Linked DNA regions of Oreochromis niloticus. The protein of the gene in region 1 purifies or fractionates together with the protein of each later gene. This does not show direct contact. Links are inferred from orthologs where the notes say so. Each region holds a gene or a part of one and is shown on either strand. Other genes may lie near its edges. The genes, in order: rapamycin-insensitive companion of mTOR, mlst8 and prr5l.

Region 1 (10,626 bases):
AGTGCTGTGTTGATGATCATGTACGAGGATGAGTCGGTGGATATCCGGTATAGGAACGGAGCGCGGTTACAGCTCTCGCCGTGCGGCTCTGAATTCTTGCTGGTGAAAGCCGCAGACCCCCGCCGACATCCACTGCAGCCCGCTGAGAAAGTCCGACAGAGGACCAGGTTCACCATCAGCACATACAAGGTATCGGCACTACGTATGAGGGTTTCTATAAAAACAACTGAATTGCTTTTGTGCCTCTCGTGTTGCCTTAATCTGACTTTGTTCAACGTGATTACGTCACTTGTTTTTATTACAGAAGCTGATGTTGGCTGCACTGGCATTTAGAAATAAGTATGCCGGTCAACCATATCTGCCACATGAACTTATTTCTGCTGAGAACAAAAAGGTATAAAGAGCTGGTTGCTAGTCACTGTGGTACTTCCTTAGACTATGTGGGCAGTCTCATTACTCTCTCTCTCTATGTTCTGCACTTCCTCATACAGCCTTTTTTCAGCATTGATTCAGCTGTACTTTGGCCAGAGGTGTCAGCCTCTCTGGCTGAATTTGGACTTGGAGGCGAGATCATCGTCAGGTCGGAGGAGGGACGAGCTGCGTTGGTGCTGTCACCTTCCGGTGAAGAATTCACAGTGGAGTTCATGTGCAGCCTCAGTTCTGCTCGAAATCAGCACCGCAGCATGCAGCAAATGAGCAAAGATGATAGCTACGACAGACAAGAGCAAGCGAGCAGTCCAGTCCCCGATAATACCAGTGATCACACCGAAGTGGTCCGGCACGGAAGAAGAAACATGAGGACGATGCTGACCAGACCGAGGTCTTGTTCTCCTCAGATGATCAGCGATGGACACCAAAAGGTAGTACTTCCTTCTAATAATAACGCCAGTGTGTCTAAAGTCTGATAGGATGACTGATTTTTCTTCTCTTTCCAGCCTGAACAGGTGTACCAGTCCACCACAGTGGTCCAGCATCACTCATGCTGTGCGGTTGCTCCCATATGGGCCTACCCTCTTTCCTTGGCTCGCCATCACTGGGCAGCTCGTTTCTCTAAAGCTAAAGATGTAGTGGATAGAGGAGCTAGGAGTTCCAACCAATCAGACAAGACAATAAACAAATTGGACATATCCTGTGAAGACAGAAGGTCCCATGTTCCTCAGGCGCTGCCTCTCACGTGTCCAACGCCTCATCGGCACAGGTTTGTAGATTTAAAAACAAGCATTTTGTAAACCATTTCAATATTGTTCAGTGGCTGATGTAGGCTTCCTTATTTGTGTATTTAAGGTGGAAGGTTAAAGATCCCCTGGCCAAAGAAGAACACACAGACCTTCCAACTGAGATGGTAAAGGTAGTGTGGTGTCAGGGAGTCACTTACAGGTAACTTTGCAGGTCTTCAGGGTATAAAGTGTGGTGGCCCTGAAAGGTCAAACGCACTGCAAGTTAAGAAAACTTAACTAACTTAACTTTTGCGGAATGTTTCTATTTGTTGGTGTTTTCTTAAGTGGCAATGCATTTGATCTCTTAAGGCCACTGTTACAAAAAACAAACAAACAAAAAAAAAACCTCTGAATGATGGTTGATGTTAGATTGGATCAACCAGAGAGAAACTCTGTTGTTATTGTGTTGTTTGACAGCTTATGGGTCATTCAGATGTCGCTAATGTTTATGTTGTTAGCCCAGAATCTTTACCCTGAGGCCTGAGTGTGTGAGGCTCCAAAGGGCTTGAAATGGTATAAATAGATCACTTTGCATTATATCATGTGATGTTACCTAGATAATACCAAAACATCTTCTGTTCTACAGTAGGTTTGGTATAGTAGGCTTTTAAGCATTTAGCACCAAATCTCCTTGATTTGATTGAAGGAGATGTAATTGTTAATCAAAACGTCTACTTGAGGGCAACAGGTAAAAAAAATCCAAGATGAGAGCTCTCTTTAGTGTTTTGAGTAGTATCTTGTTTTTGCAATCTCTTCCAGGAGAGTGACGAACACAGTCACTGTCACTTTGTGCTGTTTATTACCCTCTGGATAGACTTTTTATCTGTTATTAATTTGAGTGTATATCTGTACAATTATTTATTTATTTAACATCTTTAAGACTTGAAGATTCGCTTTGAAAATACCAGAAAAGTGCTTAAATGTATTTATTTATTAAAAATAGTCCTGACAACATATAGCTGTCATTTTTCAAGTCCTCTGTGCCTCATCAGTTGCCTGAAAGCAAAACAATAAATCAGACCAGAAGCATCCTTCCTGTTGATCCAGTCTAACACCAAAGCTGAAAGGATCTCTGAAATCTTCAATTTTCATACTCATGATAAAAAAATCATTGTTTTACAGTATAGAGTGTGGGAGATGGTCTATAAATCTACACTAGAATAGTGTGCTTACCTTCATGTCTGCTGTGTAGGATACTGAGTGGACCTGTCTCAGCTGTTGAGGTTTCCCCAGGGGATGGATCAGTCATCCGCTCTAACCGCAACCTTAACTCTTATTTTACGCATCACAAAACTGAACTCCAGTCAGGGCTGGTAAACTTTAACCTCTTATTATAAAATTTAACCAATACATTTTAAAAATAATCTTACAAATTTAGCCAATCTTTACCACAGGTCAAAGAGGTAACCTACCATTTAAACAGCCTTCCACCTGATGTGCTTGGACAGGCCTACTCTGTTTGCTCTATTGTGAGTCGTGCAAGCAGGTAAGCTGCCCCCTCTTCATCACAGTCTGGTGAGTTAAAGGACTTTTAATTTTTTCCAGTCTCCACCCATCGCATAACTGTTTTACAGGATCCTGGCTTGCTACAACCAGGCCATGCAGTCACTGAAGTGTCCAGCCTTACCCAGCTGCTTGCAAGATCTCGAAGTAGTAGTACCTCCTGATACACCTGTGGATACCTACACTTTATCCACCATTTAAGCTTGTGCACTGCCAGTTACTGAATCTCTTTCTGTTTGCAGGATGGATATTTTTGTAAACCAACAGCGTTTGAAGAAAAGGTGCCCATTGCTGTGCCTGCTGAGCAACGCATGAGTGTGACAGAGGAAGCAGGCAGTTTGTAAGTTGTGTTTTTCTGGTCACTCTGTCGATATTTTGTTATAAAATTAAAGGTGTTAACAGCTTGTGTGTACTGTTCATTTTAGATCAGAGCTCGTTGCTGCAGAGCTTGAGAAGATAAAGCGATTTAGCTGTATCCTTCAGCACTGGGATCAAGATACAAAGGGATGCTTTAAACTAATGTCTGTATTGTCTGTATTGAGGCTGTCTCTCTGTGCTCTTTAACATCCTTTGCCCAGTTCTGCTGGAGAACAGCCACGTGCTAAAAAGTGGAAAAGCACATGCAGATGAGGAGGAAAGTCCTGCAGACGTCACTCGTGAGCCATTAAATGACAACTATGTTGCTGAAGCTCTTCAAAGGACATCCAAAGCAATTCAGGATATTGACGCTCTCGTATCTGCAGCCACACTAACTTAAAAGAATCCTTATGTTTAAGCAGGAAGCCATATTTGTGTGTTTGTCTCAATAAAAAATATAATAAAACTGTGTGGAATTATACTTTAATAAAGTATGTATTACTATGTAATGGGGTTGCATAGACTTTTAATATTTTAGTCTATTTAACAACCCCAGAAAAGTTGGGACACAATTTATTCATAATGGAACATAATCAAATGTTTCAATTGAGACATTGTAACATTTTAAGGGGGGAAAAGATTTATTTTAAATTTGATGGCAGCAAAACATCTTATAACTGCTGTGTAGCATCCTTTGTTCTCTTAACCACAGCCCATAACCATCTGGGAAGTGAGGAGACCAATTGATGGACTTTTGGGTGAGGAATGGTGTCCCATTGTTGTTTGATAGAGGATTTGAGCGGCTCAGCAGTCCAGGGTGTTCATTGTTGTATTTTTGATTTCATGTTGCGCCAAATGTTTTCAGCTAGTGGAAGGTTTGGAATGCAGCCAGGCCACTTCAGCACCCAGCCAGAATCCTTGCCGTTTTAACAGATGCAGTATGCAGTTTGTTTGTAGTTCTCATCTTCAAACATTGACATTGGCAAAGAATTGTTTGTATTGAGGTTACAACATGTCTCAGAGAAAACAGCAGAAAAGATATCGTTTATGCTGGCTCTCCTGACTGGGGTGGTCAGCTCAATGTCCCAGATGGCGTTCTATCATCAGGAGGGCATTAGATCACAGCAGGAAGGAAAATCAGGGCTCTAGCAGATCCCATATAATAAACTTCAAAAGGAATCTATTTTTGGGTTTAGTGTAGGGATCAGACTTTCAAAATAAAGCATATTCAGATTGCTCTGATGAGACAACTCTCCAGTGCTTCTCCTGTCAGAGCAGTGCAGAATCATCAGCGTTTCTATAGGTGCTATGACCTGAAGTTGTACTGAAAATCTGTACAACTCAAAAGGTGAACAGGAATGGAGACCGTGCAGTCCTCTGTGAAGCTCCAGTGCTGCGCATCACCTAATCAGACAGAGCTCTGCTCAGTCCCAGGCACTACAGTCTCTCTGTCAGGTAGTCAGTAATCCAAAACATGGTTTTAAGTTCAAGAAACTGAACTTCTTTAAATGACCGAACTGATAGATGCAGTAATAGCAAGCATCTGAATCTTCTTTGCAGTTCATTTAATGTCAGGTGGTGAATAGCTTTCAGTCTATTTTCCAGATCTGTGTTCCCTTGTAACCATAAACTTTGGTTGCATTAAACTAAGAACTCGGTGAACTATGCAGCACATTGTGTTTACACTGTAATCAACAGGCAGAGAGAGGTTTTACAGTCTCTGTTATCATCCAGTGGAGACAGCAGCTGCCATTGCCCCAGTGAGTCAAAACAACTAAATAGTTTATGGCTGAAGATTTTTTTTTTTTTTTTGAGTGAGTGACTATTGACACATTTTAAAGCCCCTGAATTGCCAATCATGTACACTAGCAGAATATCAGAATGATCTACCTAATACATTCAGTAAGCTCATAGAGTATGGGAAAGATTAATATAAAATCTCTCATTACAACCCATGAGGATTTAAAAGAAGAGAAAGAATCACAGAGCCATTGCCTACTGTATAACTTTGTATCTACGATGATTCCAGGGCACTAGCTGATGTGCTCAGCGCGCAAATGTAACTTATAAAGTTGCCTATCATATCTCTTTCTCATGTGACTGTACACTTTCTCTATTTTCAGTGACTTAGTCAGCTGTTTCTATGTCCTTTAGGCTGTTTATTAGTAAAAAATTATTCATATTAATTTTAAAATATGAATACATTAATGTTATTGATGTTAATGTAAATATAATAGGCCTGCTATAAGCTACTTCCATACTGTTAACTTTTTTTTCCTGATTAGCTTGATTGTGAAGGTTGTACAATACTCCTGTCCTTTTCAGACTGGGCTATTAAATTGAGTCGAGATCAGAATCAGTATGTAGAGTCATTGCTATTAGAGAGTAAGAGAAAAAGTCACTTTCTTTCATGCATTCAGGTGTTAGTTGAAATTAATTTGCAAACAGACAAAATACGCCTGTACTCAGAGAGTGTCTATTTATTTCAATTGGTGAAGCCACATTTCGGTCCATTCCCAGAGATTGACAAAATGTTCATTGTTATGTATGGGTGACACCAAGTGTGCAAGATGGTTATTGCAGATTTTAAGACCTGAAAAGCTGAACATTATAGTCATTCATTGTTATTATTATTCTTTTCTCCAACGAATACCTGTTTTGCCTTTAGTAAAACGGCAGAAAAACAAACTAACAAGAAGTTGTGCTGTAATATGACATTTTACTTTTGATATTATTTACTTTTGATATTTACCAAAAAATAATTAATAATAATAACTGCATAATAACAACTTGCACATTAGATAGTCATTAAAATTACATTTTTTAAAAAACAGAATAAACTACTTTAAATGTTTAGTGACAGGCTTTATGCGTGAAAACTGTGAAGTCTTCAGTTATAACTGTGAAATGTCTGTGAAAGTTCGAGTTGGAGCCACTCATAGACATGACTTATTGAAAGTATTTTTCAGTCAAAACCCATGTTAAATGTATGCATAATAATAATAATAATAATAGTAATAATATTAATAATAGAAAAAGGAAGAAGAAGAAGAATATACTTAAACAATAAAAAACGAATGGATAAGGCAAGTGAAAATTTAACTTTACTTGAAATGATAATATTTGTGATAGAAATTTAGCTCTTGAATGAGATCCCCCTTTGCTAACCCTAACACAGTCGCCAGGTCAGATTTATGCTTTATCCCTCATACGATTAGAGGGATATTAAGGAGGATCCAGCTGATCTTAGGTCTGTTGTGGATCTGTTGCGGTCCCTCTCTTGTCTGCTGTCTCGCGATAACCCGCGAAGTTTCCGGTGTTGTGTATGTTCCTGGAAACATGGCGGCCAGCTTCCGCGGCCGTCCTATCCGGAGTCTTCGGATGCGAGGTAAGCACAAAAACCTCGATTCAGCGGCTGCTGTAAAAGCAGGATATTGCAAAATATGATTTTGTCACGCACGCGATGACCTTGGAGTAATGTCTCGGCGTGTCCGCGGTGTGTGTTTTTGACAGGTCGGAATGACAGCGGGGAGGAGAACGTACCGCTGGATCTGAGCAGAGGTAAGCAGAGGCTTCATCACATCACCCTGAAAGCGATTATTGTTCAAAATGGATGAGGGCGATATCTGCAAACGCTAGCCCCGCGTGGTGAAAGTCTAGACAGTGTACGCGCTTGACCCATCACTGCTGTTGTTATTTCGCCATTTTCCCTCACTGTTTGGTCTAAAAACGTCGCTATCGATGTCATAACAACAGGCGGCAACGAGCTAACTTAACTAGCTGAGTTAGCGTTAGCTAGCTGCAGCTAACCAGCCATGAAGACGCTCTGTTATTTTGATCGGCGTGAGTGGGCACGATAGCCTGTTATTTAGCCAAGTAGCCATAAGAGTTGCAGTCATGCATTTGTCATCGCTAACTGGCTGGGGGAATTGAGTCTGAAAGCTGTGCGCCGAGAAGCATTGAGGCAGCACACGGTGGATCTTCCAGAGGAGCACTGATAACACAGCTGCACAACTTGTCAGATTTACTCCTCCAGCATCAACACTGCATAGCAGTTTGTTTACACGGAGCAGCAGTGTCTCAGTCCTGGAGGCCCAGATCCCTGCTAGATTCGTTACAATCGTGTCAACTAGAGACACGCTCACCTAAAAATGTATGACTGACAACATTAAAATCTTCACCACAGGAGAGTCAATACACTTAACCTATCAGCTGCTTCAGTGCGATTTACACTATTTACATGTTCTTCCTGACAGTACCAAAACTGGGGAAAACTAAAGTATGTCAGTTCCCAGAGGTTGAAAATGATGAAATAACAAATGTGCATACTAATTTCATGTAATCACTGTGGCATCAATTAAAATGTGATGTATTCATAACTTACTGTAAGATTGGCTCGTGATGTTTACAAATGCTTGTTACCAAAGTAACCCTTTGGTCTGGCATTTTTCTCATTTCCACTTTTGAGCGATGGATTGAGTGCAGTGTTTGGAGCAGTGAGACTGATGACTAATACCGATAGCTATTACTTTTTGACAAGCTGCAGTGGAATCAGGCTTATCATCTGCTGCGCTTGGTTGTTGAGGAGAAAGTGATCTGAGCAGCTCATTAAGCTGGTGTTTTCCTAGTTTGTGCGATGTTTACATTTGTCTTGCAGGGCAATATGTGGAAGTCATCCCACGCAAAGCGGGCGTTAAGGCGTCGACCACGCTTAGACGATTCTGTTTTAAAATGCGGTTCCCGTTTGTCAAAACATTTAGCGTAGGATAGTTGAAAGGAACTGAAAACAAAAACACTTCCCGCTCAGGTCTTGCTTTTTTAATGTCTAGCCTTTGTTTTGATTGTACACTCTACATTAGTTCCAGCTAAACCAACTTCCTTCCTGCAGGATATCTATTACGGTTCATTGACTGATATTATTATGGCAATATGGCTTAACGCCTCCCTTAGTTACATTGTATTTCCTTTTCATTCTCCTTCAGAACCGTCAGAAAACTTCCGTGAAATCCTTCAAAATGTGGCCAAACCGCACGGAGTCAGTAACATGCGAAAACTGGGCCACCTGAACAACTTCATAAAGGTAACGCTGTCAAGCTCTGATAATTTTGCCTCATTTAAAGACAGTTTTGCCTTGCTGAAATGTTGTGAGACATGTAGCTTTTTGAGAGGGTTCACTTGGTTCAGATCTCTCACAAGATTGATTAGCTGCTCCTCCTCTGTAGTGTCACCACTGACCTCTCCTTGATCTTTTCCTCTTGGGTGTTGATGCCAGCAGGCCTAGTTGTGCCTGTCACTGTGATGCTGACAGTGAATATAACAGGAGCTCGAGGGATAGGAGAGCACTCCAGTCTAATGTGCATGTGGAGCAGTGCTCAGACTTTGAAATCTGAGATTAATAGTGTCTAGTTATTGTTTGTATGGACCTGAGACTTTGATTTGTTAAAAAAAAAGAAGAAGAAAAGATTATTTTAGTCATTTTTTCTCTTCTGGTTTTTAATGTGAATGATAAAAAAACAGAGGATTTAGGAGGATTTTCAGTTTAGCAAGGCTTAAAACACAAATATGCTAACATGGATTGTAACACATGTGAGCCCATACAAGTTTTAAATTGTTTTGACCATGCAGTATAACTGCTCTGATTCACTTAACAGCAGTAAATGTTACTGATACAGAGATGAATAATAGCAATAATATCCCCAAAAGTTTGTTCTGTTCATCTGGACGTAGCGTTTTCAGTTTGAGAAACGTTTCGTCACTCATCTAAGTGTCTTCTTCAGTCTCAGCTGACTGCAGACTGACTGCAATAATAATAAAAAAAGAGTATGAAATTTAAGTTTCTTGCTCATTAAAAAAAATCTGTTTTAGTGTTTTCGCTCATCATTCAGGTCAGCCCTGTTGGTCAGGACTAGTGACCTCTCCAGGGTGTTTTTCTCCTGTCAACCCAAAACATGCTGGAGTAGTCTCCTTCCTGTTATTTTGAACAGGAATAACAGGGGTGGAGAAAATGAGTTAATGATTGCGAGATGAGCGTGAGATAGAAAACTAGCACTTTCTTGTGCCTTGAGCACACTGGCCTTGCTGACTGTCACCTCAGGTGGGAAAAAAAGAGTCAAAACCATGTGCACAACTGTCTAATTTACCACAGTTTCACACTCTCCGTCTGCACCTACGCTGGGGTCAAATTGGTATAAAGTTTGTCATCTGAGTGCAGGTATTTGTCTGCTCTTCACTTTGTTGTGACAGGACTGTCTGTGTCTGTGTGCAAAGACAGTGATGTGCAGTATTTTAAGGAAGCTAACTAAAAAGCAGTATTATCAGAACAACTACTGGTCTGCGGTGTCCGCAGTTGTCCATGCACATGTTTACAGGAGAGTCCTGATCATAGCCATATCCCGATTTCCTCTTTCACCCCACTGCCTCAGACCACTTCTGACTGCCGGTCATAAGCGTATTGTAAACAATTGTTGGTGGCTGTGCGGCAAGTGAGTACTGGCCCTCCTACAACTGTGCAGCTGGCACTGGAGCAGGCTCGAGGCTGAGTGAGAGCATGGGTTTGTGTGCCTGTAATCTGTACACCTAACTCTCTTGTTTACAACTGACTGGAGGGTTATAGCCATGATGTGTGTGTGTGTGTATGTGTGTGTGTATGTCCCATTAGAGCACCATGACTCTGATTCCTTATAAGGGTTCCAGGACAGTGAGGGTGAGCTAATCCCCCACCCCCCCGGAGAGCATCACGTGCACCCTGTCCCCATCTCCTCTCCCCTCGTTTGCCTGTTTGGGCTCTGACATCACAGCTGTTTTAAAACAACCCCATACTCCTTCTTGCCTCTCGTCACCCATCCCACCCTGCTCCGTCTTGCCTCATGCTCTGCTGTGCTTTAAGAAATTTATGCTCAACTTTGAGGAACAGTTCAAACCAAAAGTACTACAGTGGTTCACTTTCATTAGGAGACACATGGCAGAATAGACAACTGTGATGGAGGAGCATTGACTTGTTGTGTGAAGAAGCCTCAGTGTACCTCTAAGAACGGTGTTACCCTATTTGGAACATTAAATATGTAAAATATTGATTAGAGTTCACATTCTCACTAGTTGTTGTGTGCAGCTCTACAGTTGTTAGGGAGATGTAAACACTCCACATAAGATTTGGATGATGATTACATAGAAACATGGGGCTGACACTTTATAGCTGATTTCAGTCATTTGAATACCCTTCTGGCTTATACTTCGCAATTGCTGTGGCTTTGTGCTGGCAATGTTACCTCTTACACAGTGACAACAGATTCATTCACACCCCACATAAAGGGCCCACAAGGCCATCTTTCTGCAGTAAAAAGGAAGAAGTGATCGATCTCTTATAACTGTTTTTTTTGTTTGTTTGTTTGTTTGTTTGTTTGTTTGGCTACATTTTTTTTTAAATTACTCTGTCTCCCACTCTCTCTTTGATTTAATAGTTACAAGTACTGCAACCGTATTTTATTATTTCACTGTGTTTACCACAGATTTATATTGTCTCTCATCCTCAAGATCATACATGTAAAGTCAT
Region 2 (10,437 bases), on another chromosome or scaffold:
AACAGAAACTCAATTACTGCATTCCATATGACTTGATGATGACCAAACAATGAATCCATACACTGGGGGAATAATTATTTGATCCCCTCCTGAAATTGTAAGTTTGCTCTCTATGGTCTTATGGTTATTTCATTTTACTGGAGAGAGACAGAAAATTAACCAAAAATCCTGAAGAAACAAAAGGTCTAAACTGATTTGCATGACACTGAGTGAAATAACTATTTGATCTTCTGCAAACTCACATTTCCTGGACAATCCCAAATAAATCAGAAAGTGACAAATTTCACTAATTTCTTATTACAGTTTGTGTTTTGAAAAGGTTCAACGAAAAATGTCACGAATGTCTCAGAATTTAATTACTTACTTACTGTGAAATCTTAAATATTTAAAAGATATTTTATTGACGTTGTATACTTCATGGAGATTTGTCACAATGGTTACAATGCAGTGATGAAATATTACATTTCCCCTTTATGATCACATATAAATTAGCAAATACCTTTATTCCCCGTATTCAGTTAGAAATAAACAACCTGTGGAGCAAAATTCTTTGTTACTGTTGTTTAACTGGAGTGGTTCAACATTTTAAACTAGATCTGAAAAAACACTGCTACCCCTCAACCTCCCAGTAGACACACCTATGGATTCAATTACAAAATCTTACGTCACCTTGTTCTCGAATTATCACAATCACAATATTTTCAGAAAACTTGAGCCTGAGGTCAAGGTCACTGAGATTTGAATTAGTCCAAGATTTTTAGTAAATACACCTATGATATCATAGGTGATGTACTGAAACTCATACATCACTTTGTGCTTGAGTTATCAAATTCACAAACTTGGATGACCATGCCACATGCTCGCCTGCCCTTTAAAACTTTCCTTGTTTAGCCCTCCAGTCTAAACAATGTAGTGTACATTCAAAATAACCACACTAATCTAAATAATGACAATCATCAGGCCTCTGTTCTCTTCAAACTCTGTAAATATCAACTTACTTGGTACTCGGCTGATTAGTCTCATTGGCTTGATGGCATGAGACGCTTCTACGTGGAGATTAAAGAATCCAAACGTATAATCCATTAGCCTGAGGTGGCAGTTACAGACACAAACAAGAAGGTGAGTTTTACTTTCTTTCATTCATAAAAATAAGCGTGCCTTCCAATAATCTAAAACTGCATCTTTTTGGAATTCCTCTGCAAAGGTTTTTAAACTGAAACTAAATTCTAGAGACACATAGATACAGACACATGGATGCTAACTCTGCAAAGATGATGAAAAGGTCAAACTTGTTCCAGTGGCTGCTCAGGTAGCTTCCTTTATGGCCGATGAATCCCAGGGCTATTGTCTTAATGAGCGTTTCCATGATGAAGTAAAGAAAGACGAGAGAACCCAAAATCTGTATACAGAGAACGAAAAACATCATCATATCAAATATCAAAACATACAAGGCATACTGTTAACATACAATCACTGGTAATAACAGCAGTAGCACAGATATAACATACTATATCCAGATGCTGCATCTGAGCTTGTAAGGGGCCTGAGGGTCTGGTTATGGGCTCTGATCCATTCCTACAAGATTTTACTGTTTAATGTGACTTATTGCAATAAGTTACCTCCTCTTTAAGATGACATATTGTTAAGTGACTGTTCTGACAAAGTTAATGCTGACTTATGTCAGGTTAAGAAAAAAGAGATGACCATTTTAATTAAAGTCATTCAACAGAAATAGGTGAAAATTAAATACATGTATGTTATTCAAAATTCTCTCTTTCTGTGTTAAATCTGTTTTTGGCCACAAATAAGACAAACCAACAAATCCTTTAAATGATGTGAGTAATCCTGTCAGTTTTTAAAGAAGAACATTTAAAAAGCAGCTGCAGAATTGAAATATTAAGTGTAGGACTAACACTGTTAGTATCATATATGGTACAAAAACTCACATTTTAAACTTAAAACATGTCCTTGACAAAGCACTTTGGGATTTTTCATCGTGAAGCCAAGAATCAAGATTACACTAGAACATTATAGGACTAACAAATGAGAGCGTTTACGAAGTGTGTTATAAACTACAGCTTATTGTTAGTCCTTAAAGGGACAGTTCGCATGTTGTACATCTGTATACTTTCTGTTGGGCCTGTTGTGCCATCTTCATCTAAATTGCTATGATTTGAAGTTCAGCTGTAGAAATATTAGCAGAATATTCATGATTCCCGAAATTATGGCCCTCCCCTGAAAAACATCAACAAATTGTGTTATAAATAGTTCATTTAAGGACTATTTTTTTTCTACAGAACTAGAACCGCCAGCCAAAGATGATGAAAATGAAGATGCATAATTTTTTCTGCACAGTGATAAGCACTTCTAGTCTGCTAGTCTCTTCTTCTGATGCTCAGCTCATTATAATAACCTCTCGGGTGAAGCTCTCCTCTTTCGCCTCTACACAAGGCTGGTACATGCCGTCATTCACGCAGCTGAGCAGGACCACCAGTATGGACAAATAATCCAACCATGTAGAAGAAGAGGTTAAGGTCCAAACACATTCATAAAATTTATCAGCAACAAAGGAAGCTTTCGTACTAAAAGTGTTTAATGTGGACATATTGAGTGGTATACAAGAAAAAAAACCTATAAAAAATTTTAAAAAAAGGTTTGAAATTGTGTTAATGACATTCTTACTTCATTCAGTACAGAAAGGATATGGGCCAGAGACTATTTTGAGGAACCATTTGCGGGGTCTACTCGTCTGCTTTAGTCCGAAGCACACAGGCACTACCTCTGGGAAGGGAAGCTGCTCCTCTACAACGACGCCTCTATGTCTATCATGGATTTCATGCATAATGAAACCAGAAACGCATCTGAGAGAGGTCAGGAAAAAGGGGCAAAGAAAACCATGATATACAGATCTATTTGGAGAAACAACTTCCTTTTCTTGCATAAAAAAGTTAAGCAGTCCCACACTAATAGAGTTGGCTATATATGGATTTTTTCTGTTAAATGTTTGGATACATTTCATTACACCTGTTCAACTGCTCCTTAAGTCAAATACCTAATCAGAGAATCACATGGCAGCAATTCAGTGCATTTAGTCATGCAAGCATGGTCAAAAATAACTGCTGAAATTTAAACTGATCATCATAACAGAGAACAAAGGGGAATTTAAGTGACTTTGAATGTGGCTAATTGTTGACCCTAGAGGAGCAGGTCTGAGTATTTCAGAAACTGTTGCTCTCAAACATATCTGCAATCAGTTTCTGTTAAAGTGACTTTTATATATCATCCAGGTAAAAACTTCCATCCATCCATTCGCTTCCGCTTATCCAGTGGCCAAAAGGATCTGTATTGATTATAATGTAGAATACAGAGTAGATAAAATAGCGCACAGCCATTTGCAAGGATCCTTGCAAAACAGGTTAATCAGTCAGAATCAGAATCAGTATATTTTATTAATCCCTAAGGAAATTATGTGGGTTACATTTGCTCCAATACAGTAACAGAAACAGACTAGACTATTTAACAATACAATATGTCGCAGATTTACAAATTTAAGAAACAGCACAATATATACAAATCACTCAATAATAAATATCAAGGATTGACAGAGGTGATTATAAATAAATATCAAGAATGTTGACAGGAATATTATTGAGAAGAAAAGAGCATGTGCAAAAAGGGTGTAACTATTACAGTGTTTACAGTGTGTTAGATGGAGAATTAATTAATTATATTAATAATTGGAAATATAACAAAAACAGAACCAATGAGTTAGGAAAGCTGTCAAATAAAGGTAAACAAAAGAAAATTATTGTAATTCTCACTGAAATGAATTGACAACTTTTCACTGTTTTAAGTTGTAGTCCGGAAGAGCAGTGACTCAACACATTAACGTTGAGTGTACCTTATTTAGGCAACATGCTAATGTTTTAGTGACTTCGCATTAGCCTAAAGCTACAGTCATTGGAGGCTACATGATGGGGCTGTTAGCATGACACTGTCATAAACATGAATAGGCGGCACACAATCATAAACTCTCCATTTGTTTTCTACTTATGAAAGTTTGGTTGGATTAGCTAACTGGTTTTGGATAAAAGAGTTGCGTATGGCATTAGCTAGCTAACTAACTAGCCTCTTTTAGATAATAACTATAGGCACTGGAGACAGAAATATTTAACAGTTTGCAAACATGTTATCCTCAGGTTCAGCAGACAGAAGTAAACATACAAAAGTAAAACTTGGAAAACCATTTCCTAATTTAGCTCAATCAATCAATCAGTCAAAAGAAAATCCAACAATGCTTTGAGGACATTTCTGTACCTAATTATGCTACTACAATTTATTTTAAAGAAATTTAAAACCACTTTATTACACTTAACTCTGAAAATGTTCATTTTTACATTTTCGAAAATACTCAAGTTACATTTTTCCCCCAAACAGACTCACAGGTTTCTGATTGTAAATTCTCCTCTTCACCTTGACTTTGGCCAATCAAAGGTAAATGAGCCAAACTCTGATGTGAAGCTGTAACCAACAGCAACCATCCTGAAACCGGATGTTGACGATGAAGAGCAAACTGTTTTATTAAACAGTAATTTCATCCCTTTAAGTTTTTTTATTCTTAAAATTTATCTTATAATATTTTAATGTGGGCCCAAGAAACTATTGATAGCGGGTGTGTTGAAGCTAATATTTTAATCATTAAGTTCTGGCCGAAAAGGTGGAGACTGAAGCTTAAGCACAGCACCTAGACTTTTTGTACAAAATGTTGCTTAACTGGCAACACTTTTCTAACCTGATCTGCCCCAAAGAAACACCAAAAAATGACACAAAATTAGGAATAAATACTAAACTAGGACAAAAACAAATAGTAATCATATTGATTGTGCCTCATGTTTATTTTTTTTAATCACCTGAGTTTTTATGTTGTTGTTTTATGTTGTTTTTTTTAGATAATGATCAATCTTAATTCAATCTTTATAATTTTATATTTTGTACATCAGTGCATTTCAGACAGTAGATCATATATGAAACTATTAGGGGACAATATACCATGATGATTTTTGATTTATGATGTCTTTAGTTTTATATCATTTTGCAATAGTTTTTGTTTCATTTTTGTTTTTACATTGTTAATAATGAGTCTTCCATAACTGTCAAGTTGATACTAGATGTGTTTAATACCTGTTAGAACTAGTGTTGATCGTGGTACTGAGTACAGTATTTGTGAGGTTTTTCTGAGCGGTTCTAGAAACTGGTTGTACAGACAGAGGATGATGTCACGAGGTTGGAGTGTAATTTTTTATATACCGAAAAAAAAACCCCTTATTAGTTAAGCAACAATACTGTATCCATATTGGCACGTTTCTATACATCCAGCTATGTTTCTATGTTTCTATTCAACCCTTGCCATTTGAAATGTACGAAAAGTTTAGTAGTACTTAGAATAACACAGGCTACAGTGATAGAAGCGATCATCTTAAATCCTATTGACTCAATGGCATTTTTCAACTTTCTATTATTTACTTTCTTTTACTTTGGTACTGACTATTAGGACTGAGATATCGCCATATTGACACAAGCAACTTTTCAGACGATGCTAATAAAGCTGAAATTAAAAGATGTTGCAATATTACATAATGAAATACGATTAGTCTTAATTAATATTATGAATTATTGGTATACACTTCTTTGAAAATCATTGTATTTAATTGCAGCATGTCTATTCCTCGTGGACACACCAGCAGAGGGCGGTACTGATCTAGTGATTGAACCGGAACTCTTGAAACACTATTATGTTTCTAAGGGACGCGTTAAGGAGACGTACTTCTTGGCTGGCTTCAACACTAACAACAACAAAGGGGAACTAAAGAAATTTGTCCTTTTAAAACGGTAGTACTGCTGTGTAGTTATAGGTAAGGGGTCTAATGGTTTCATACTAGAAGCGTTTATTGTTTATTGCATAGACTATAAGTTTGGCTAGCCTCTCTTGCTAAAGTTAGCTTATGATACGTTCACAGTTTAACCCTTTTTTGTGCTTTAGCTGTGTTTTGTGTTTTACTTTAATTGTTGCAAATTGAATTTCCCTGCAGTATCCGCCAGGAGTTCGTCATGAATGTGAATCAGGGGACGGTGGGCAGCGACCCGGTCATTCTGGCCACGGCTGGATACGACCACACTGTCCGCTTCTGGCAGGCCCACAGCGGGATCTGCACCAGGACGGTCCAGCACCAGGACTCAGTATCCTTACCCTGATATATGGAGGCTTACGCAGAATGTGTACTGTCATGTTTGAATAATTATAGGTTATGACCATTTATAAATCTCAGGTTTAAAGTTCAAAGTTAATCAGATGTTGTCTATGGGGGGGGGGGGGTTCTCTTCAAGGCAACAAAAGAAAACAAGCTTCTCACAAAAATCCACGTGAACGCAAAAAGTGCTTTTGTTTTAGTTCTGTGTTTTCTATTTGTTTATAGATGTTCTATAAACCCTTTAGGGTTCGCTGAAGTGGGTAATTGCCTTCATCTCACACTCTTTTGTCACACCAACCCTCTGCATGTCCTTCTTCACTACATCCAAGAATCTCTTCTGTGGTCATACTGTTTTCCTCCTGCCTGGCAGCTCCATATTCACACTTCACAGGTCTCATTTACACTGTCTCTCCTCTGCATAGGTCCAGACCATCTCAGCCTTGCCTCTAACCTGTCTCCAAACCACTCTCTTTACTCCGAATGAATCTTGAAATCTTCATTTCTGCCACATCCAGCTCTGTCCCGTATCTTTTTGTCACTGTCACCGTCACCAAACCACACATCATAGCAGGTGTCACTTCCATCTTACAAACCTTCCCTTTCATTCTTGCTGCTATCCTTCTGACACTCATCCCCACATTCTCCAGTCTGCCTGCTCACTCTTGTCACCTCTCTTGTGGACTATCTTGACTGTTACGCCTGTCTCTCTCTCATGACTTTCATTCCTCCTCTCTCCAGACACTCTTCCACCTGGTGCCTGCTTTCACTACAGATCAAAATCTTGTCTGTGAACATCATAGTCCACAGAGACTCCTTTCTGATGTCATCTGTCCACCTGACAGTACCCTGACCTTACCTAGCAGTTTAAATTTGATGAGCTGTAAAATATAGCAGCAACCTACATTGTCCACTTCCTTAACATTTACTCTCAGCAAGTAAATTCACTCGAGGTCACACCTGACAGAAGTATGATTGCAGCCGCAGGTTGGTTACAATTTTCCCCACAATCCTTTTTCTCATTTCTCACCTTAATGTTACTTTGCTTCATAGTAATGTTTGCATTCTGCTTTCAAGGTTATCAGCATATCCGCATGTACGACTTGAACTCCAACAACCCCAACCCGGTCATCAACTACGATGGAGTTAGCAAGAACATCACGTCTGTGGGCTTCCACGAAGATGGACGCTGGATGTACACAGGAGGAGAGGACTGCATGGCTCGCATATGGGACCTGAGGTACTGAAGGACAAGCTCACTGGTCTTTGTTTATTTAATGATCAGCAAACTAAACTCTGATCCCTGCTCTACCTTGTAGGTCAAGAAATCTGCAGTGTCAGAGGATCTTCCAAGTAAACGCTCCAATCAACTGTGTGTGCTTGCATCCTAACCAGGTGAGACACTCAGTACACACAGATGAATCAGGTGAGGCTGTGCTCTTGGTTACTATCTGGAGCATTTGCACTTAATGCCGAAGATTTCATTATGTTTTTTTAGGCAGAGCTTATAGTTGGAGACCAGAGTGGAGTGATCCATATCTGGGATCTGAAGACAGACCATAATGAGCAGCTGATTCCAGAGCCGGAGGTCTCAATCAACTCAGTTCACATTGACCCAGATGCGAGTTACATGGCAGCAGTCAACAGCTCGGTCAGATGCTTAAAAAAATCTGCAGCATATGTGGCGCAGGTTAATAAATTCACTGTTTTATATCGTGTTATATTATTGAAAACCTTTTTTTTTTTTTTTTGCCCGGCTCTCTTTTAAAGGGAAACTGTTACGTGTGGAACCTCGCTGGAGGCATCGGGGATGAAGTGACTCAGCTCATTCCCAAAACCAAGATCCCTGCGCACAAACGCTATTCCCTCCGCTGCAAGTTCAGCCCCGATTCCACGTGAGTGAACCTTTTTCTCCAATTTCCCCCTCATTTCCCCACCAAAAATACAACTTGACATTTTGCATTCGTCGTCGCCTCCAGGCTGCTGGCCACCTGCTCGGCAGACCAGACGTGTAAGATCTGGAGGACGTCCAATTTCTCACTGATGACAGAGCTCAGCATCAAGAGCAATAATCCGGGAGAAACATCCAGAGGCTGGATGTGGGACTGCGCCTTCTCCGGAGACTCGCAGTATATTGTTACAGGTCCATACAGCAGCACACTGCAACAGATCTCAAAACTGAATAAGAATTGTTCAAGTAAAACACTGCAATCTATCTGAGGGCTGCAGATTTGAAATGTGGCTGTTTGTAAGATAAAAAGGACATCTCATTTTCTGATTTTGTCTTGATTTGTCACACTAACCCCTGCCCTGCCATTACATCTGCCATGATGTAAAAGGGGTTTAAAAATGAAACATGGCTTTAAGTTTGCTCTCAGATTATGATAACTTTTAGACACTTCCATGTAAGGCTGGACATTGCTTTGTTTTAATTCTATTTTTTCACTCACTCCACAGCCTCCTCAGATAACCTGGCTCGCCTGTGGTGCGTGGAAACTGGTGAGATCAAAAGGGAATACAGCGGCCACCAGAAGGCCGTGGTGTGTCTGGCCTTTAATGACAGCGTGCTCGGCTGAGAAGCAGAAGGAGGAGATAAAAGGTTGTCAGACAGGAACTAAAGACTCTTATGAGGGTGCCACTCATGTCACGTATGTCAGCGCCAGTACAGTGATCGACTTGAGGAAGCGGGCACAGTGGCCATCTCTGGCATATGCGCAGAGTGACACAGCCAAAATAAAAATCTGTAAAGTTAAAATCTGTTTTAATGGACTTATTTTGTTTCCACAGACGTACAGAAAGAAATCTGTCAATGACGAGGCAGACATAATAGTTTGTTTGTTTTTTTATTCAAATTGCAAAACTCTGTTTTTACAGAGCGCTATATTTATTGTAAAAAAGACCACATTAATCACAGGTGCTTTGTATGTGCAGCAGACTTGTCTAATCTCTTACATGTGCTATGTATGATTTATTTGAATAGCTGTTCTGTTCTTCATTATGTGGAGGAGGACTGCTGAATAAACGGTGTACAGAAATGTCTTTATACCCAACAGGTTGTGTCTTTTATTCTCAGAACAAAACAGTCACATTGTAACAGGAACGGTTACACACAGCAGTCCGTTACAGGACATACAGTTAGAGGCATTTACAACAAAAAAACGGGGGGCGGGGGTTCTTTCTTCTTTAATCTGTGAAGCGTGCCACCAGAGAGGGAATTATACATGAAGAGAGTGATGATGGGGATTTGGCGATAAATGTGACAGCCTGTCTCCAGCTCACTTCTTTCTCGGAAGGAAGAAAATGGTTTACTGGTGGCTGTATGGCACAAAGGAAACAGTCAAAGCTCGCTTTTGTTCTTGAAGAGGGAGCCAAAAACAAAAAGAAAAGAGACAACTTTGTTTCCCTGATCTTTTGCCGGGAGGATCGAGAGAATGCAGAGTCACTCTGGAAGGTAGTAGAAGCACACGGACACGCAGATGTTGCTGGGGAAGCAGATGTCGATGCAGAAGTAGACCAACCTCTGTTTGCCTGGGCCTGAGAAAATGAGAGGTCATGTGACTCATTAAAAAATACAAATTTAGATTAAAGTGTCACTTGAAAACAAATCATTTAGAAATGCAGTCATTTGCATGAGTCATTCATGGTTTAAAAGCAGCCAGATTTAGTTTGCTGTTCAGAATGGGCTCGCGTACATGCTGTTGAGGGAGCGCACAGTGAAGTACATAAAAAGACTTTCAGGCCGTGGAAAGGTCACATTAGGCCACGAATCAGGTTTCAGTCTGACACGCTGCTGCGTTGCGGAGCGGCCGCAGGGCTAATTGAAAAACCTCTCTGCGCGTAGGCTCCGGTGACCCTGACAAATGAGCCCTTGTGTGAAAACTTCAGCATAATTTCTGTTCTGTTCTCCCAATTTGTGACTCAGGTGTCTGGAAAAAAAGAGTCGATTCATAAATGAGTCTATGAAACTAGTAGGGAACAGTTCTGGGGTGGTTATAGAAAATTCCACTGTTTTCTGAGTATTTAAAGGGATCATCATCAGAGTAAAAGACTCCGTGGTGCTCTTTGGTGCAGCTTTGTCAAACAGTATCAGAAATCGCTTTTTAAGCCGAATCTGAAGCTCTTGTGAAACCAATTTTTAAAGCCCATGTTCCAAATATAGACAAATTTTATTAAAAATCCAGAGCCCATAAAA
Region 3 (9,902 bases), on another chromosome or scaffold:
AGGATGAGCAAAGTCCCAGGGATTTTTATTTTAGGGTTGTTGTTTTTTTTCTATGTTTTGGGGGAGGAGGGCAGGGGTGATTTCACAGCATCATTCTAATAAACCTGTCTGTTCTTCTACAGAAATGTAGAAAGGTACCAGATTTTTTGGGGGGGGTGAACACGTGCTTCAGTTCCACTGAAAAACACGTTATCCTGTTTGCTGTGGCTGCAGGTCAGCACTGCCTATTGCAAAAGTAGATTTGCGGTTCTATTGGAGAGCAGAGACTAAAACAACTTGAAGCATAGGCTTTAAATAGGAAGACTATAAAAGCAAAACCAGCCAACTTTTAACCAAAAACTGAACATGACTTCTATTGGAACAGGTTAAAAAGGTCTCATGATGATGATTTGGCTAAAGAGCAATGACACTGAAAACTCTGGCAAACCCATCATAGGTTGCTAAGGCTAACACACAAACATTAGAGAGACACAAACATCCACAACTTAAAAAAAAAAGTCACTTAATGGTTTTTGAATGAAATTTCATGCAAATGCAAGTACAGTAGATAATACAGTTGGAAAAAACCCAAATAAAGTGCCAATTTATAGTTAAACTAATAATAAAAACTATCCAGGGCATTGGATAGTTTATTTCCAGCAGTATGCAGTATTGTATCAAATGACAAAATATTGCATTTCAATTTTTATTTTATCTACTAGTAGCGGTTTCTTAGCAGCTATTTGGCCATAAAGGCCTGATTCACACAGTCTCCTCTGAACAGTTGATGTAGAGATGAGTGCTACTGGAACTCTGTGTGACATTTATCTGAGCTCTAATCTGAGGTGCTGTTAAGTTATGATTTCTGAAGCTGGTGACTCAGATAAATTTATCCTCAGCAGCAGAGGTGACTGGGGCGGTCCGCATGTGAGCCAGTTTCTTCGTAGCGCTTGATGGTTTTTGAATGTGTCCCCAAGTGCAGTCGCAAAGTTTTAACAATTTTTCTGACTGACTGACCTTCAGTTCTTATCCTCCTGAGACCCAAACTCTTTCATAGCATGCATTTTTAATTTCTCTTTGCTATTTGGGCTGATTGGGACCTGATGAATGTAAAAACAAAGAATTACCAGATTTTTTTATTTTTTTTTTTAACCTGAATTTTGTTTCTAAGAAAAATGAGATCCACATATGAGGACATTTGTTTGAAATTTTGATAGAACAGTGGCAGTATAATGTCCTCGTAAGTGGATATCAGGCCCTTGAAGAGCAAAATTTAGTATTTTGGTTTAGACATCCCAAAATGTGATGTCCACATATGTGGACGCCAGGTCCTAGGAGTTTAAAGTAATGATGGGCTGTCGTTTCTCTTTACTTAGCTGTTTAAAATAAAAGACATATTTAGAGTTATTTATCATTTTTTTTCCTTTGCTACATAATTCAATATATTCATTTAGCTTCATATATTTGATGTCTTCAGTTTGTATCTACAAGGTAGAAAGTAATAAAAATACAGAAAAACCATTAAATGAGAAGGTGTCCAGACTTTGACTGGTAGTGTATCCCAACATACCTCGTCTGTGTTCGTGCAACAGCGTTAATGTTGCTTGAGGGACAGGATCCACATTTCTGAAGGATTTCTTAAACTAGTACTGTGGTTTCCATTTAAACTTTGAAACAGACATTACAAACACATTAAACACTGACAAACATAATAAAACACTACATTTCTGACCTTTTCACCTCAACACACCTCATCTGTGTGACTGTGCAACAGCACACGTTACTTCTGGTAACGTGTGATATGCTACAAAGCACTTTTGGTTTGTTTTCAAACACAGAAAAACATTTCTGACATTTCTACCTTGACACACCCTTTAGACAGGGGGTTGCATCATCCCTGCACGTCAGAATGAAAGGGCCATTGTCCACGATTATCATAGCACACCTCTGGTTGTGGTTTTGGTTGTGAGGGTCTTGTGGTGTAGCATTCCTTCTGTGGTGGTGGAAAGCTGAATGATGGTTAGACAACTCTTGATGCTGGCTTGTTGACTTGGTTCATACTGTGGACCAGAGCCAGGCAGAACCTTTTGAGAGCCATCGGTTTCTGGTTTCAGTACAAGTCTGTGTTGTAAACCAGCCAGGAATTCACAATGCACAAGTCAAGGATGTATTCAAACGGTGAAATGTACCATCTGCTCGACTTGACTGGGGTCCTATGCAGGTGTACTAGCATGTAAAAAAAAAAATAAAAAAAAATCAATTCCTCCCATAGCTCATTATATGCAGGGATGAGTGATGGGCGTGGAATGATGATCTTTGCTCCACTGACCGAACGAGGCACGATCCCACAGGCGTTTTCTCAGAAGGTTCATCCATTTGTGGTTGAACCATTTTACTATAATCAGACCTTTTGAATCTACGCTTTTTTTTGTAACAAGTAGGCTCAGATGTTATTAGCAACTTATTATAATCATTTCCTTTTCTGTTCAAAAGATTGGTCCAATATGTCCTAAACTACAGGACCAAAAAAAGTCATTAAAGCACCATTCCTTAATATTTGGCGTTATTATCATGGGTGAGACTCAGAAACTTCTGGGCGATTTCATTTGGTTTAAAGCTCAGAAGAAAAAGGACAATTTAGCCATAACTCACATTTGCTGAGCAAGAAACGTCTAGGATGCAAACTGCTGATGTGATGTCCGTCCTGGTCAAACTGCTGCAAAAGGCTGAGAGACTGAGTATAATGTAATTAAAAACAGAATGCAACAATTTACAAATCTATTAAACCCAAAGATACAAAATGTTAAAACTGAGAAAGATATTTATAAAGATGTTGGCCACACATCTTAAAAATCGGTTGGGTCAAGTCTTCATCACCAAGAATCTTCTATGAAGCAATGCTGTTATAATAGATGTAGTGTACAGTTAAAATAACGTCTTTGGTTAAAAAGATATGATCTGGATGAGAACTTATGTTGCTCTAAAGCCTTTATATACCTTTCAGAATTGATGGTACATTTTCAAATGAGCAAGCTGCCATGTCTACAGGTTTGACAAACATAGTAAAGCTCAGAGATGCAGGCTTTTAAGTGAGCACTAATAACACTGGGTGGTCTTTGTCTTCTTTAGTCCAGAGAACAGGGAATGTTTTCTTCCAAATTAATTTTTTTTTTCTCACACAATTTGTGTATGCGAAATAATCCCAAAATGCAACAGTACATTCTGCCAATTGGCAAAAAAATAAAAGAAACAAATCACACACATAAACCCTATAGTCATATTGTATATGCATATAGTGGTGTATTTAGGGCTCTTTAAGTGTTTAATGGAAGTGTAAAAATTATATACAATGCAGTTAATTTACCATTTAGTACACTTGAGGTGTAAAAGTATTATTTTAGGCATTTAATGAGTGAACATCATTTTAAATAAGTCTTTGATTCTTATTGGTCAACGACAGATATTTATTTGTACTTCTTGTAGTTATCCAGCAGATGGGGATGTTTGTCCCTTTAAGATGTTCATACCCCACATCCGGAGTTTCACCAACTTTCTGACCTCCTCTTTGGCTAAAGTGATGTCCAGTGTGGCCTAAACCTGACCCAGTACCTTCTGTGTGCTGCAGCCATGGACACAGTAAGTTACTGTACAAACAGCTGAAAAACAAGTAAGCCAGTTCTGATGTCAGACCTTAGAAACATTAGAAATCCGGTCATCATACTATTTTTGTCATGTGGCCTTCAGTCCCATGTTGGCTCCCAAGGATGGGAATGTGAGAACAGCAAGGTCTCAGTTAAACGTATGTTCCAAGCAGGATTTGTGACATCATCACTATAGTAGTAATTAAGTCTCAAGTCTGTCCATAGATACTCTACGGTTTTTCTGAATGGTTATTAATATTTATCTAATACTACTTTTGCTAATGCTGCTGTATAGCATCTTAGTCCTGCTAACTACATTCATAACTACAGTCAAGATCCTAAACAAACAGTCTTTAATGCTTATATTTAGTAATATGTCCAATATTATTTTAAAAAAAAATCACACAGTACTGCTCAAAACACAACAAAACAAAAAACAGGCACAAAACACTGAAAATAATATCTTCCTGTTGCTATTATTAGAAAACATTATCCTGACCCATCATGCAACCTTTTTTTGGCAATCCTTGCCACAGCAGGAATACTGAGTTCCTGAGCTGTGGAAGTAGCTGAAGCAAAAACTCCGGTGTGGTATTATATCTGTGAGGCCACTGAACGTGACTTTCAGTTGGCCTCGATGTAATTCTGGCAAACCCTCAGGAAACTTAGTAGGAGAACTCTGCTCATACTGTGTACAGTGGAAGTGGGGTGCTGCAGACTTCTACTGAGGATATAACCGATCATGGAGGGATCCCCTCAATCCTACTAATACGTCTTCTGTAGAAGAACCATAGTCAGAGGATGAGGGAGATAATTTGTTCATCACTGGGGGTGAGCTAATTGAGGCAGTGAAGCAACCCCTTGGTGGCAGGTCCCCTTGGGTGGATAAACTCTGCCCTGAACACCTTAAGGCTCTGGATGTTGTGGGCCTGTTGTCTGTATGGATGCTGTCTGTCTGTTAGTCAAATCTTTGTAGACATGCATCTGCAACATTTCGTGGTGATCTGGGACGGTGCCTCTGGATTGGCAGACTGGGGTGGCGAGCCCTATCTTTATGAAGAGCTACCGTAGGTTGAGAGGCAGGTAACACCCTGGACCCAGGTCGCCAGTGTGGTGCAGCCAAATACTGCATACCAGCACAAACATTGAAACAGTGGACAGGTCTCCAGCCTCTACCAGGGCCAGCACACACTGGGGCTATGCTGAAATGTGAATATACAAAGTCAAAAATTAACAATCATACTTAAAACATGCTGTAAAGAAATTTCAGACAATTTAAAACTGAAACTCAGAACATAATCCGCTCTTGATGTTCTAGTTTTATTCTCTCAGTAGAAGACTTGGTGCTATTAAAGGGGTTCAGAGTAAAGATTAATTCTAAAAACAAAATTCAAACATTGTCTGTGTACAAGTTTGATATGAGGTCATCAAGGACAGTGTAGGTTTCAGTAGGCCGTGATTTCATACCTATTGATCCTTATCTGGAATCTAAACTGCTCCAGAGAAAGTTAAGGTCACAACATAAGTTACCATACCTATATATCCTGGTAAGAAGTTACCACTGGCATAGTACAGAAAGCCCAGGGTTAACCTGGATGAGCCAGAATGCTGCTTTGTACTATAGCCTTCTGACTTCAACATAATTGAGATACTGTGGCTGTGTATTAACAAAAGCCTACAAACCTCAATTAACTGAAGCAACATTGTGAAGAAGAATATGCCAAAAGTCCTCCACAATAACGTGAGAGACTGATAAAGTCATACAGAAAATTATTGCTCCAAGTTATTGCTGCTAAACATGTTTTTTAAGCTACTGAATCATAAACTATGCTTGCTTTAGAAATGGTTATGTGTTCTAAGAATTTTAAAAAGTAATAGTGAGCACTTTTATTCTTATATTGCTTTCTAATTAGCCTAATAATTTAATGTAAATCACAGAATCAGGCCTAAAGGTCTTCTGAAAAAGGCAATTAATAATCCAAGACTATATTATATATAGAATTATATAGAGGTTTAACTATATACCTTTGCATATCTCTGCCTTGTGCAACGTGTTTTCTGCGAATAAACTGTGTAAAAAGTGTTGTGAGGTTGTACTGTGAATCCATTCCACCACAAAACTTAATTTCTAACAACTTCGACTTTTATTTTGAAGGTCACGCATGGCAGCGTCGGTTGCAGCCGGTACTGCAGCCTGTTGAATGGAGGCAGCGGGAAGAGGCAGTTGTTCTCACTTCCAGTTATCAGAGAACCTGTGTGAACTCCGTTTCTCAGTATGAGTTCTTAAGCGGAGGAAGTGTTTGTTTTTTTTAGAACGGAAACCCAAGCGATGCGCACACACAGCTGCCGCTGATAACAAGAAGCGGCACTCCGCTTTCAGCTGCACATCTTATTGAGTCGCCAAAAGACAGCGGCTGTGTTTATTTCTCAGAGCAGCAGCAAAAGGTGAAGCGAGTTTGCAGAGGTGAGTCCACGCACGAATACCACGAGGCTTACATCCTGTCAAGATGTTCACGCAGAACAGCGGCTAAACTCTGTGGCGTGTTTCTTTTTCTTTTACTGTGTTTTTGTGACCGGACGCATTTCATATCCTCTCGAGCTGGAATTCAGTAAAAAGTAACTTACGAAGAAGAGATCCTTTAAAATAGAAGTGAAAACCCCCTTTTTAGGTCAAATAGATACAGCCCACTGAAAAGGGGAGAGTGCAGATACCTGCTGGTAGTTACGTGTGTGGAATGACCCATAAAACTTCATGTAAATAGGTATGCAGTCACAGACGGGTGGCCCTACACTCAGTTCAGCTCTATAGTTACATGTAATGACTCTGGGCAGGCGTCGTGGGTCTTATACCAGTAATTCTGTGTGCCAGCTTAAAGCGTAAGATCGATAACTGCACCGCATACTAACCCAGTGTTTGTTTTTCGATCGGTAGATTTATTTATAACTGTCATTGTTGTGTTGGTATATACGTTTTTAACCGCTCGTGAGGCGATTTTTCTTGATACCAGTTGTATTTGTCAATGACATGAAGCGATGGAGGAAACAGTAATACGTTATTTCATTCTTAGAACACAATAGCAGATTTGAGAAGTCATTATGATCTTACTTATGGCCGATTAGACTTCTCAGAGCATTATTTAATGATCTTATTGTTGCAGCTCTAGATAGACTGAGTAATTTTTAAGTGCACTTATGTGAATTCCTCAAGTATCTGGGGATCGACCTGTCAGTAGAGACCCACAGTTGGTTTTTTTTAGGATGCCAAGATAACTTTACCAAGTTAGGCCTATAAATAGCTCACAGTTTGCAGATGTCAAGCAAGTGACTACTGTCACCTGTTACTTTGTAACCAGAATTGTTTAACACAATGTAACTTCAAAGTAAAAGAAAATAATGTTGTGCGTGTATAATATGGCCAGAGAGGTAAGAGGGCCATTTATGGGGCAAGGATCAGCAGAGGCAGACTGATGCTTGGCCTTGCAGTGTGGTGGTAGTCTGTAGGTAGTATACAGAGCTTTGTAGATCCTGTTACTTTTTACTGTCTGACTGACAGGATATTGGTACAGGGAGAACTCACTTGGCTATTGGTTGCTTGGAGAAATTCCAGTTTGACAAATGCCCTCGTGGGTTTTTGCAGACTCTGTACTGTCCACTGTTACTCTTCAGTTTATTACATTAGGATTAGGGGCTCACTAATTGGCACTTGCCCGATTTCTTTCTATTTTTTTTTTTTTTTAATTCAAAGGGCACTGACGAACAGCCCTCAGCCAGTGTCTCCCAAAGTATAAAATACTTTCTGTCTAGCATGAAAGTCTGTGAACAGTTGAATGTAATTACAAATTTGTCATCAGAGATTACAATGATTTGTTTGTTAGAATTTCAAACACCATAAAACTACCAGAGCTGATTAGAGTGTGGCACCAGATGTCTTTAATATTGAACCTTTTCACAATATTCTACTTTTCTGAGATACTAAATTTCATTAGTTGTCAGTTATAATCATCAAAATAAATAAATAAATAAATAAATAAACACTTAAAATATATCAGTCTGTGTGGAATAATTGTATACATTATACAAGTTTCACTTTTTGAATGGAATTAATGAAATTAATCTACTTTTTAATGATATTCTAATTATATGACCAGCACCTGTATTTTAAAATTGACCCCACAGTTATCTTTTACAGAATAAGAAACTCAATTTAATGAAGTATTGTAAAGTACAGCAATCATAGTACCATAAATTAAGCTTCAGTCTACATCCCTGCAATTCATCAAGCCTGAAACCAAAGAGTTAAATCTGCTCTGCATTTAACGCTTTGCTCTCTTTTCTTGGATTGGTACTCCATACTCTGGACTAACAGCCCTCATATTAGACAGGTGTTTCTAGACAATCTGTCCACAGCTGTTATTTGCATTAATTTCTATATGGTCAAAATGAAGTCATTGGGGGTTATAAGTATTAAGATTTTTAATTTGTTTTTTCCTTTTTATCCCACAAACCCCCAAATTTGCTTTATGATGATAAAACCATTTTAGGAAAAGTTATAAGAGATAATGGTGTTTTAATTTAAGCTACGTGACATTTAAAATGCAATAGGTTCAAAATGACCCCCATTGGTGTTATACAGTCCCGATCAAAAGTTTAAGACCACTTGAAAAATGGCAAAAAATCATATTTTGCATGTTTGGATCTTAACAAGGTCCCAAGTAGAGTTTCAACATGCAACAAGAAGAAATGGGAGTGAGACAAAACCTTTTTTGAGCATGCAATTTATTGAAAACAACGCTTAAACTGAAACAGGCTGTTTTACAGCTGATCAAAAGTTTAGGACCACACCTTCAAAAAAAAAAAAACCCTTAAACCACCCACAAAACAGAAATCAAAGTTCCAAACATGAACTCAGAAATGAGTAGCTCCACCGTTATTGTTGATCATTTTAAATATTTGTTGCGGTGTGCTTGATGCAAGTGTTTCTATGAGGTGAGTGGGAACATTTCTCCAAGTGGTGAAGACGGCTGGAAGAAGGGCATCTGCTGTCTGGAACTGTTGTCCATTTTTGTAAACTTCCCTTGCCATCCATCCCCAAAGGTTCTCAGTGGGATTTAGATCAGGGGACCATGCAGGACGGTCCAAAAGAGTGATGTTATTCTCCTGGAAGTAGTCCCTTGTCCTGCAGGCATTGTGTACTGTAGTGTTGTCCTGTTGAAAAACCCAGTCGTTACCACACAGACGAGGGCCCTCAGTCATGAGGGATGCTCTCTGCAATAGCCAGCGGCGGTTTGACACACTTTTACCTCCTGAAGGTCCATTGTTCTACTGAAGGAAAAAGAACCCCAGACCATTAGGTCTGAGGATCGTCCAGTGTCTTGATGGACAACCGATAGGGTCCTCTGGTTCAGTGCTGGTGACATTTTTTGGGGTTTTCCACTTGACTTTTTTGTTCCACAACACTCAGGATCATTTAAGAAATTCCAAATGACTGTCTTACTGCGTCCCACCTCAGCAGCGATGGCGTGCTGCGAGAGACCCTGCTTATGCAGTTCAACAACCCGACCACATTCAAAAAGGGAACTTTTTTGTGCCTTTGCCATCAAAACATTATGACAGTGTGACTCCCTGACAGAAAATGACAAAGAATCAACATTTTTGCACAGATTTGGCCTTTTAAAAGCATGTGGTTCTAAACTTTTCATCAGCTATAAAACAGCCTGTTTCAGTTTAAGCGTTGTTTCCAATAAATTGCATGCTCAAAAAAGGTTTTGTCTCACTCGCATTTCTTCTTGTTGCCTGTTGGAGCGCTATTTGCAACTTTGTTGAGATCCAACCATGCAAAATATCTTCTTTTTTTTTTGTTGCCATTTTTCAAGTGGTCTTAAACTTTTGATCAGAACTATAATATGATATTGAAGTTATGTTTCCTACAAATGAATTAATTTATACAAGGCATATTTCAATAAAAGCATACCTATATTGAGCAAATATATTCTATAGGAATGTGTTTTACCTGCCTAAGAAGATCTGTGATATCAGGCAGATATGTGGTTCTTCTCTAAGTATCGGTGCAATCTACTTCCACATTCACTGCATGTAGTTGGGGGAATTCCCTCAAACTGTATCTACAAAGGCTGCAGTGTTATGACTGTAAAAAGTGGAACATGTAGCTTACTTACATGAAGTTAATTTACCTGTTTTATTTACAACTGGAGCACTGACTGAATAATGTTTACACATTAAAAGCAAAGCCAATTGGCCACTCTAAAAGTCAACAAATTCCAT

What was found.
Region 2: the proteins of rapamycin-insensitive companion of mTOR (region 1) and mlst8 purify together in Homo sapiens (affinity purification with western blotting; 14 studies listed by BioGRID and IntAct, with this or other methods). This does not show direct contact. The link is inferred for Oreochromis niloticus from reciprocal best matches to the Homo sapiens genes RICTOR and MLST8.
Region 3: the proteins of rapamycin-insensitive companion of mTOR (region 1) and prr5l purify together in Homo sapiens (affinity purification with western blotting; 3 studies listed by BioGRID and IntAct, with this or other methods). This does not show direct contact. The link is inferred for Oreochromis niloticus from reciprocal best matches to the Homo sapiens genes RICTOR and PRR5L.

The regions. Positions count from the first base shown.
Region 1 is NC_031977.2:11,882,779-11,893,404, forward strand, and holds the start of rapamycin-insensitive companion of mTOR, read left to right. Parts: upstream 1-6,353; 5' UTR 6,354-6,416; coding exon 6,417-6,465; intron 6,466-6,590; coding exon 6,591-6,638; intron 6,639-8,059; coding exon 8,060-8,157; intron 8,158-10,626. Other genes in the region: lg12h5orf34 (uncharacterized protein C5orf34 homolog), read left to right, coding at 1-189, 305-394, 492-860, 936-1,198, 1,285-1,377, 2,410-2,530, 2,612-2,703, 2,792-2,867 and 3 more. UniProt on the Homo sapiens protein: Component of the mechanistic target of rapamycin complex 2 (mTORC2), which transduces signals from growth factors to pathways involved in proliferation, cytoskeletal organization, lipogenesis and anabolic output.
Region 2 is NC_031973.2:21,210,690-21,221,126, forward strand, and holds mlst8 (target of rapamycin complex subunit lst8), read left to right. Parts: upstream 1-5,767; 5' UTR 5,768-5,912; intron 5,913-6,089; 5' UTR 6,090-6,108; coding exon 6,109-6,237; intron 6,238-7,180; coding exon 7,181-7,232; intron 7,233-7,322; coding exon 7,323-7,485; intron 7,486-7,564; coding exon 7,565-7,640; intron 7,641-7,743; coding exon 7,744-7,896; intron 7,897-8,015; coding exon 8,016-8,140; intron 8,141-8,224; coding exon 8,225-8,388; intron 8,389-8,702; coding exon 8,703-8,821; 3' UTR 8,822-9,295; downstream 9,296-10,437. Other genes in the region: voltage-dependent T-type calcium channel subunit alpha-1H, read right to left, coding at 999-1,087, 1,263-1,399, 2,414-2,516, 2,706-2,842; bricd5 (BRICHOS domain-containing protein 5), read right to left, coding at 9,685-9,779.
Region 3 is NC_031972.2:39,237,792-39,247,693, reverse strand, and holds the start of prr5l (proline-rich protein 5-like), read left to right. Parts: upstream 1-5,812; 5' UTR 5,813-6,084; intron 6,085-9,902. UniProt on the Homo sapiens protein: Associates with the mTORC2 complex that regulates cellular processes including survival and organization of the cytoskeleton.